Ovis aries: one gene and its partners. The protein of the gene in region 3 interacts with the protein of the main gene of each other region in a pairwise test. Links are inferred from orthologs where the notes say so. Each region holds a gene or a part of one and is shown on either strand. Other genes may lie near its edges.

Evidence for each region.
Region 1: the proteins of phospholipid scramblase 2 (region 3) and SLC35A2 interact in a two-hybrid assay, tested with the Homo sapiens proteins (2 studies listed by BioGRID and IntAct). The two-hybrid records come from large-scale screens. The link is inferred for Ovis aries from reciprocal best matches to the Homo sapiens genes PLSCR1 and SLC35A2.
Region 2: the proteins of phospholipid scramblase 2 (region 3) and CRY1 interact in a two-hybrid assay, tested with the Homo sapiens proteins (2 studies listed by BioGRID and IntAct). The link is inferred for Ovis aries from reciprocal best matches to the Homo sapiens genes PLSCR1 and CRY1.

Annotation. Positions count from the first base shown.
Region 1 is NC_056080.1:56,168,656-56,172,155, reverse strand, and holds part of SLC35A2 (UDP-galactose translocator), read right to left. Parts: intron 2,575-3,500; coding exon 2,423-2,574; intron 1,404-2,422; coding exon 667-1,403; coding exon of another isoform or gene 648-666; exon of another isoform or gene 1-647. UniProt on the Homo sapiens protein: Transports uridine diphosphate galactose (UDP-galactose) from the cytosol into the Golgi apparatus, functioning as an antiporter that exchanges UDP-galactose for UMP.
Region 2 is NC_056056.1:175,908,054-175,911,553, forward strand, and holds part of CRY1 (cryptochrome-1), read right to left. Parts: intron 2,589-3,500; coding exon 2,480-2,588; intron 1-2,479.
Region 3 is NC_056054.1:242,594,358-242,597,857, reverse strand, and holds part of phospholipid scramblase 2, read right to left. Parts: intron 2,809-3,500; coding exon 2,647-2,808; intron 219-2,646; coding exon 186-218; 3' UTR 1-185. UniProt on the Homo sapiens protein: Catalyzes calcium-induced ATP-independent rapid bidirectional and non-specific movement of phospholipids (lipid scrambling or lipid flip-flop) between the inner and outer leaflet of the plasma membrane resulting in collapse of the phospholipid asymmetry which leads to phosphatidylserine externalization on the cell surface.

The DNA.
Region 1 (3,500 bases), on a different chromosome or scaffold from region 3:
CTTCAAGGACCTCCCTTCTTTTTTCCCACACCCTGGATCATTCATCTGATTACACCACAAACCCCCAAACCACTTACAAACCAATGGCTCCTACTGCACCCTCCCCCTGAGTGGGCTGATGCAAAAATCTCAGCTCTCATCCCCCTTCCTCTCTCTCTAGGTGCTCATAAGAGGCCCTTTTTCAAGTCCCTGTGTCAGGGAAGCTGCCCCAAGGCCACAAAAAGACTGAGCTGCTAACATGATCCAGTGTAGTTACCAGGGAGGAGAGAAGGCCTCGAGCTATGGGAATCGGAACCCCACAGGTAGGCATCAGTCACTACTAAAGAGCTGAAGAATTTTTGTCCAGTTTGTCCCTACAAAGGTGGAGGGATTGCTGGGACTCTCCCAGGCTTGAGAGACAGGACACCTCTGGCTAAGGGGTTAGACTGGGGCAGAGGAGGCAGCTCTAAAAACCCCTGGCTACAAGGAAGGGTTCATGTGATGCCCTGCCCTAATCCCACACCCTTCTGGAAATTTCAGTGACCTGGAAGAAAAAACCCTTCCAACCCCAGAGGAGCCAGGCCCCAGTGGCAACTTGAATCCTGCAGATGCCCAACACCCTCCACCCAGAGTCCCTCCCTGTCTCCCCCCCTCGCTGCCACCAGCCCTCACTTCACCAGCACTGACTTTGGCAGAAAGGGCTCCGTGCTGAGGTCTCCATGGTGGGAAGACAGCTGTGGTGGCGGTGGCTGCCCGGGAGGCTGCTGGTGAGTGCAGGGCCCGGAGGTGGGGGCAGAGGCAGAAGCTATGGCTTTGGCTGCACCTCGGGGCAGGCTGTAGAGGTAGACGGCACCGATGACCAGCCCCGCGCCCAGGGCAAACAACGGGTCCACATGGAAGCCAAAGAGGCGGATGGAGGCAACAGTGGACAGCACAATGGACAAGGAGGTGGCGAAGCCCTTGAGGATATTGTCAGCATACTTGACGACAACAGCCACCAGGAGCCCACCAAAGGCCTGGTTGAGCACCACACCCCAGACAGCAGGTGTATACCCAAAAAAGAATCCGCGGTGGGCTACGGCTGTGCCCTCAGCCCACCAGAGCCCCACCAGGCCCAGGGCTGTGCCAAAGAGGCCCAGCTGCAGGTTGCGCAGCCACACGGAGCCTGAGCTGCCTTTGAGGATCTTCTCAAAGTAGACACCGGCAAAGCCTGAGGAGAGACAGGAAGCCACCACAGCCGCTAGGCCCACCCCAGGGTTCTGATCCAGTGGCCGTGGACCCCCGCCGCCAGCTTGCTGTGCCTGGACAATGGCGACGCCAGTGAAGAGGAGCAGCAGGGAAGCCCATTGCAGCCGAGAGAGGCTGCGGTTCAGCATGAGCACGGAGAACAGTGCTGTGGTCAGGATCTTCAGCTGGTACGTCACCTGTGAGCGGCATGCAGAAGGCACTGAGGGCTGATCCCAACCCCAACATGTGCACATGGGGGATGGCGCCGACTGTGGGCCCCCAGGCACAGTGGAGGCACAGGGCAGAGTAGATGACCGTAGAAACAGCAAAGATACCCAGCCGCTGGCCACTGACTGGGATGCGACTACATAGCTCTGAGGTGCCTCCCAGAAAGTACCCAGGAGGATGGCTGTGCAAGGATGCCCAGACCACAGCCAAGTCCACATTCCAACCCCGTGTCCCAGCTGTGTGAAATGGGAGGAAGCACTTGCCCTGAGTCCTGACATAATCATCTGTAAATACGACTGATATATTTGAAGTACCTCACACAGCAGGTAACCAATGAATTGTAAACATCCTGATGAGGGAGGTCTTGATAAATACATATTGATAAAAAGGAACCCGTACATATTGATACAAATGAATCCATGCATATCCATACAAAGGAATCCATACATATTGATACAAATGAATCCATTATGAAATAACATCAGTAAACATTTACATAGAGGCTACTGTGTGTGCCAGGTGCGGGTCTAAGCACTTCACATGAATTCATTTAATCCTCATATAAGAAGTGTACTATTGCAATGTCCAATTTAAAGATGAGACAGAGAGGTTAAGTGACTTGCCCAATATCACACAGCTGGAAAGCAGCAGAGCTGGGATTTGAACCCAGGCAGCCTGGCGCCAGAATCCAGGGTCTTTAACCAATTAAAGAGGCCACCCGTAAATAGCCTAAAGCTTATCCATCACCAACCAAGGGCTCTTCACAGATATCATTTCTTTTAATCATTCCAGCATCCCAGTGAGTAGCTACTATTACCATTTCCCTTCCCAGTTCTCACAGATGAGGAAACTGAGGTTGAGGAAGAGCCAAGGACATTCCATTCCACAGGAGACACAGCCCCTGCACTTTGCAGTACTTCCTCCCCAAACATCCTATATCCCCCACCCGAGCCAGTTCCTCTAGGGCCATGCTGGGCTTTGGGCTCACCTGGAAAGTGGCAGCTGGCAGGTTGGAGATGGCAACATACTGGAGGTTATTCTGCAAGGTATAGATGAGAGAGGGCACTGCAAGCTTGAGTGTGTCCATGTACTGCACCAGGACAGCCTCATGGAGGAAAAGAACCAGGTGCTTCACGTTACCTAGGTGGAGGGAAGAGAGCCCTTTTTAGCACTGACTACCAACAGATGGGGATCCTCTAAAGGACAGGAGTGGGCCTGGTCCTGTGTCTCCCCACTACACTGACTTCCTGAGGGCTAGAATGAGGTCTGTGCTCAGTTTCTCTACAGCACAATGTCTCCAGCAAGCCTTTTGGATACTCAGTCTGGGAACCACAGTCCATATTTCATCACTCATCTTAGAGCCCACCTCCCTGGCACAAAGCCCCAGGGCAAGCCCTCAGTGCAGTGTGTGCAATGAAACTATCAGCACTAACTAGGAGCTTGTGAAGTAGATGCTCTCGGATGGTGGGTAGAAGGCTGTTTACCAAGAGGGATTGTTTCAGACTGAGCTTTTAGACTTTTCCTAGATCCTTCCTAGCCTGAGAGCCACCTGAGAGCAGGGGCAATCTTCCACTTGGCCACTTCTTTCCGTCAGCCTCCCACACACCAAGCATTTGCCCCTGTCAAATGGAAGAATGCAGGCTTAACTATGAAGCAGAAAGTCTGGCTGGGATCTGCTCCAGTCAATTCATGAGAATACTTTTCTATATAATAAGACCTTTACAAATCTCACCCCACTTTTTCGCAGGTCAACTTTTAAGGCTCAGCTAAGTATCCTTCCTCAGGGAAAACCCCACAACTACTGTACATGGTTATTGCACGAACTCCTGATGTTCATTCACAAAACCCTGTCCTTGCCCTTCATGGCATTAAGTCCCAGGAGTAATTATTGATCTCTAACCCCTTACACATATCCCCTGCGCCCAGGGGTTTGGGTGTTCAAAAATGTCCAAGTATTAGGAAGGTAACATGGTATACATGCTATATATTTCACACAACACACACCACACATGTGGGGTTACACACCATAATCAAGCTCATTCATATTTCTGCAGTGACTCGTGGAC
Region 2 (3,500 bases), on a different chromosome or scaffold from region 3:
ATACATGCATACAGTACCTCGAAACAAAAACAGTAAAAATAAAAACAATACAATAAAAAGAAGAATTAACTCTCTCTATGGTTCTGACATATTAAATAAATCTGAAAGTTTTCATAAAATATATTTTATATGGACTATATCAGAATCAAATAATAAGCACTCTAGGCACAGTAATATATATTCATGTATCTATATTTTATGGCCTTTGTAGAAACCACTGCCTCTCTGTCAAAGTGACAAGACAAGAAGCATAGCATCTAAATTCAGAAGATAGTCTGATCCAATAATATGCTATTTCAGGCAGAAGAAAGCTCAAAATAAAGAACACAAAAGACTTGCTTCAGTTCAGTTCAGTCACTCAGTCGTGTCCGACTCTTTGCGACCCCATGAATCGCAGCACGCCAGGCCTCCCTGTCCATCACCATCTCCCGGAGTTCACTCAGACTCACATCCATCGAGTCCATGATGCCATCCAGCCATCTCATCCTTGGTCGTCCCCTTCTCCTCCTGCCCCCAATCCCTCCCAGCATCAGTCTTGCTTACTTAAACCATTTTTGTCAAAGGAGGTAAATAAATGTTTTGTTATTTTAAAGGTACTTAAAAATCCTCAAGATTCAATTTACTTATAATACATGGATTTATATAAAGTTGAAGCAGATATTCACATATACTTTATACATATGAGTTGCTGATTAACTATTACCATTGTTCCTGATATACTTTCTGCTCAGAGCTCTTGCATGTAACTAGGTTAAATTCTGACCCTAAGAAGCTATAGTAGTAAGAAAACTTCAGTAAAATAAATTTTGACTAGCCACAACTGTTGCATTAGTCATATCCTAAACGTTAAAAATTTCTTTCATGCTGATGAAAAAAGGCAAGGTAGTGTTAATTGAATTCCCAGAATTGGGGATATTTTCACTCAGGAAAAGGAACTGTTCTCTTCTGCATTCGAAATAGAAACAATGCTATTATAAAAATTTGATGAATCAAACTGTTGTAAGAAAAAAACAGATATACATTAGGAATTCTAACTGCAGTAAATAGGAAGGGATGAACTAAGCCAAGAAACTCAGCCTGAGCACTTCCATGAGCTACTTTATGACCTTGGTCAGCTCATTTAATCTCTTTAGGACTAAATTTTTCATGTGGACAACAGGGGAAAATAAGATTAGGAGATCTTTAAGATTCTACCAAGTTTAAAAAAATTACAGTTTTGTAGCATGTCAATTGATATAGTCCTTTGACTCAGAAAGTCTTACAAGAGTTATCCCACAAATGTACTAGCAAATGTGAGTAAAGACATGTATATTTGAACAAGGACATTCACTGACAGCATAACTTGAACTAGCAAAAGGCCTGTGGAAAAACAACTAAGTGTTCATTAGAAAGCTAGTGAAAGAAATGATACCCTCAAAAAATAAAAAATAGAACACAGATCATATGGTAATATGATCCAGCAACTCTACTCCCATTATTTATCTGAAGAAAACAAAAACACTAATTTAAAAAGATGTATGTACCTCAATGTTCACGTCAGCATTATTTACAATAGCCAATATATGGAAGCAACCTAAGTGCCTGCCAACAGATGAATAACGATTTACATATACACACACAGAAATATTACTCAGCCATAAAAAGAAAGAATGAAATCTTGTCATTAGCAACAGCATCGCAAATGTATGAATTTGAGGACATTATGCTAAGTGGTAATAACTTTGCATGGTATGTAATCAATAAAATATTGAACCACTACATTGTATACCTGAAATATAAATTATAAGTCAATAATAATTTTTTAAAAAGGAAACTATAGCATATCTACACAATCGAATACTATGAAGCCATTTAAAAGACTGAGAAAGTAATATGGAACAATATCCAAAATACATGATTATGCAAATAAAGCACAGCATAAAATGGTATTACATAGCATGTTCTCATCTTGGTTTTAAAAACAGAGGTTTTTAAAAACTTTTAACAGAGGTTTTAAGGTTTTTAAACAGAGGTTTAAAAGCACATGAATAAAGCACGTGAATAAAGCATGGCATAGAATGGTATAACATGGCATGTTCTTATCTTGGTTTTAAAAACAAGAGGTTTTTAAAAGGTTTTAACAGAGGTTTTAAATACACATAAACCACACAAATATATGTATATAAATACACATACACATATGCATTCTTATTTATGCAAGGACTATTTCTAATGCATATATAAGAAAGCGGTAGTAGCTGTTGCTTCTGAGAGGGGAACTAGCAGTTTAAAATAGAAGAAAGATTTAACTTCAATGTAAATCATTTTTTTCACAGTCTGATTTCACACTGTCTGTGTAACATTTTCATTAAGAAAAAATCCACATATATTTTATTTAAAATTTTTACATTTCCCATACTAAAATTTAAATTATCCCCCCCACAAATGTGTCTTCTCTGACAAGAGATTTTTCTTTTATGCAAAGATTTTTTTCAATTACCTTGAAAAGCCGGGGAAACACATCTGCTGGTTGTCCACGAATCACAAACAGACGAGAGTTTAATTTTCGCAGATTGGCATCAAGGTCTTCAAGACACTGAAGCAAAAATCTAGAGAGAGGAAAATATTATTTAAATTCTTCAAAATACATATTTATAAAATTTAAAGTAAAGTAATAAAAAGTCATGCTATTCTAAAATTTGAAATCTCATCTTTTTTACCTCTTTAAAATCTTCTAATTTCTAGATCATGTATAAATTACTGCTTCCAGAAACCATTCTTATAAGTTTTTAAAAATTATGGCACAAGTTTCTCAGTATTTTTAAATGAACTTCCTAAATTAAATGAATAACTGTCATTAAATAATGGTGATGTTAGTAAAAATCATATAAAGAAATAAAATAATTAAATGAATTGATCTCATTGTTTAAACTTGGTGAAATAAATCCAAGTTAATATAGAAAAGCCACCTTGAAAAACCTAGGACACTAGGTTTTCTTCGGGAAAAAAAGAACACTTTTAACATCCTATTTAATCACTCTGAACAAGTGAATAAGAATTTGAGCCCTTTATTAGGGGATGTTGTAATCATCTAAGAGAGAGAAGGAGTAAAGTCCATTTTCAGTTTCTAATATAAAGAATCTGATAATAAATAGATGTTAAATTATGTGCGTTAACTCTCTGAGTATAGAGAATACCAAATTAATTTTTTCATAAAAGGTTTCTGAGGAAGGTGGGGCTGTAAGTTTTTTCAATGAAGTTAGCGTCAATAAGTCCTATGCATAATAGATATCTGGGGAAATTCTGGGGTGGAGGCAGAAGACTGCTTATTTTGCATCTTCCATTGTAAAGAAATGGGGCAGTCCACAAGAGCAAATCCAAAATAGATGTCACCCCTGGAAGGTTCAACCTCATTGTTTGCCTCATGTTAATTTTCTCTAAGGTTTCATGTAGATTCTGTTCCTCTCTCTGTTCTGTTCCTCTCTCGACTCTGCTTCTTTTATGTTTTTCATTTTTAATAT
Region 3 (3,500 bases):
TTTAATTTGAAAAGTAAAAGCATATGCCTGAAGCTTCAGGTATCCTAATATAATTTACACATGCTGTAATAAATCATTTACATAAAGAAAAAATCCACCCAGTTTTTCTTTTACATAGTCCCAATCAATATACGGACTTCAGATTTTCTGAGACTTTCATAAATGTACTACCACACTCCTGCTCTCTATTTAGTAGTCATTTCAAAGAACATGAAGTCCTAGAGAAAAACAAAATACAGAAATGAGTTTTCAGCACCAAGCAAAGATCAGGTCTCAGATGCATAAATACTAAGGGATCTGATGAAACACAATAACATACTTGCTAAACAAGAAAAATCAACTGTAATACGTAGATCTAGGAAAAATTGATAGCTTCAACTTTCCAGTTTAATGGTAATTAAATCCTACAATTCTGTTAACTTATTGATACCTGCATGAACTTAAGTAATTCTCAGGTGATTTCTGTAAGTTTCACTTTTTTTCATGCTTCTTAGAATGTTCCTCTTTCAATCTTTCTTCTTCAACTTTTTGAACTCCTTCTCTAGTAACATAACTTGTGTTGTGACTGTACATGGAACTCCATGTACAATCTTTAGATTGTTTCAGGAGAATGGCAGCCATCTTAGACTTAGAATAACATCTTAGAATTTTGGGGCCCAATTTTATGACTTCTCTTCCAAGCCTGTCTCTCTATTCCTCAGTTTGTCTTACTCCATCAGTTTCTAACCAAATCTTCATCTTTATGACTTCTAAATTGTATGGATTTTAGCTCTCTCACATCTGTCATTTTCCTTTATCCCTTTATAAAGAAATAACTAAATCTTTATAACCATTCACTTGTAGTTGCACTAATACAGTTGGTCATCAGGATTTATTGTTCTAACATTTGGATTTATAATTATTTTTATTTATACGTAGCTTAAAACTAACCAGTTAACTAAACAATTTTTAGTATCTTTCCAAGGTCTATAAGAAGTTGCCCAATCTACCCAATATTCACTTCTTAATAACCCCACTCCAGTATTCTGGGCTGGAGAATTCCATGGACTGTATAGTCCATGGGGTTACAAAGAGTTGGACATGACTGAGGGACTTTCACTTCATAACCCCACCAACACCCTTCAGTCCCATATCTCATCTAACCAGACATCCCAAACTATTCTCTCTGCCCTATACACATCATATCTTTGGTTATGGTGTGTAAACCGTTGGTTAAACAGTTCCCTAAGATTAAGATTACAGTTTTCTTCTCAGGTGAAATAAACATTTGTTGAAAGCACAATTTTTAAACAGAATTGTGGTTATCTTTAAAATGTTATATAGAAAATATCATCTATGCCAAATTAGATAGAACAGCATAATAAAGTCCCAGTGACTACTCACCCAGCTTAGTTCACCAATTAATCTATCCCTTATGTTCCCCTGGCTTCATCTCCCTTATTTAAAAGCAAATCTGTGATAAATAACCATATCATTTCATACTGAAATACTTCAGTATACACCCTTAAAAAATATGGACTGTTTTGTTTTTGTATAACCATAATAACATCATTTTAAAAACCTTAATAATTCATTAATATCATCAAATAGCCTGTGTTCACAAATGCATGAAGGTCTTGTAAATGTCTTTTTATATTGGTTTGTTTAAACCAGTATCCAAACAGAGTCTACAAATGATATTAAGCTGGTGTTTCTCTTTTCATTTTTATCTTCCTGATATTTATTTGTTGAAGTAACTGAATCTTTTCCTGTATGTTCTCTCACTTTTTAGTTTTCTTTTTTTTTTTTTCTGATTGCCTCTGCATGTCAGTGTTTAAGATAATCTAGTGGCTCCAAACCTCATTTGCATTGCAATCATACGACAGCTTGAACACTTGATGGCTTTGTTCCATCTCCAGATTTAGTTTACTGGATCTGGGTACAGTCTTGACATAGGGAGTGCAAAAGCTACCCAGGTGTTTTTACTGTGCAGCTAAGGTGAAAAACCACTGCTCTGTCCCCAGAGACCTTGACATTGGCCACATAAGGAATCATCTAGGGAGCTACACGAACTTTTAATGGTGTGCTTCTGATTTAGTTAAACTGGGGTATGGCTTACTACTAAAAACTTCCTAGCTAATTTAATGTGAAGACAAGTTCAGAATCAATGCTGTATTCCATATATTTCCTCTCAATTGATAGTTCCATCCAAGACTTGATCAAATGTACACTTACTGCAGTTTGTATTTCTGTATTAGATGGTTTAATAATGAATAAGGAAAAAAATATCCTTGTTTCACTGAGACTTATTTCATTTAAACACACTAGAAGATTCAAACTCTTCTCCAAAGTACCAATTTTTTTTTGTTGTTGTTATTGGTGGTGGTGGTGGCTTTTTTTTTTTAACCACTAAAACCAGAACTTCTCCTTAACATATAACATCCTTCTGGTACAGTGTGAAACTACACAGACCCTCCAGAGAGAAGCTAGTCACCTGTGAACCAAGAGTAGCAGAAGAAAACGGAATTTCAGAGCTAAGATTAAATAGGACCACTTTCAATAAAACCTACAAATTTAAGGTCGTTTAAATATATAAAATTTAAAAAATTATTCCAGAATAAAACTAGAGAAACCATCTGTACCCTAGATTAGCAGGAGTAAACTTACAATGAGGAAACATGCGCCAAGCATCACAGCTTTCATTTTCACATCAAGGTCTAATGGGAACTGGATGCCAAAGTTATCAGCATCTGTAAATAACTCTTTAATAAGGCCAGTCCAGTGCTTGGAAATCCTGCCAACCACATGCTTCTCATCAAGAGATTTAACCTAAATTGAAAAAAGAAAAAGGACAAAAACTTTTAGCAAACTAATAAATCTACTTTCCAACTAGAAGTAAAATGAAACCAATATTAAAATTATATATATGCCATCATAACTGTGAACATTATATCACTCAGTAGATGCAGGTAGATTCCTATGTTTACTTATAGATTCATTTTAAAAACTTTATTTGCTACAGAGAACTAATATGAAAGTAGTTTAGCTGAAATAGTTAACATTTTCTATTCTCCATTAAGATATACAGTAATAAATTAGTTGAGTCTATCCAAAATAAAATTCAAGCAGGAAAAGATACAACTGTGAAATGATTCTTTGAATGAAATTTCTAGAAGCCATCTGGTCGGGGGAGCGGGTAGTAAATGAAACTCTAATCTGACTTTAGCTTAAGATTAGTACAGAAAGTTGACATAGGTTGAGTGTTTAAAGGGGATGGAAGGACTCAGGAAAACATAAAATGCCAAGAGGCTGGAAAAGAGGACTGGCAGTTTTGAGAGAAGTAAACTAACCAATAAGTAATTTGATGGGATGCCCCAGGTCAAGGCTTGGGGTAAGACTGGACAACAGAATGGGACTGAACAATAAAAGAGGAAGGATGTATGAAACAGAAGGACTCCAAAGTAAAGTTTTTCTAATTTTATGTTTCTATCTGAGTAAAGCTCAGGCCCATGATAAGGAAC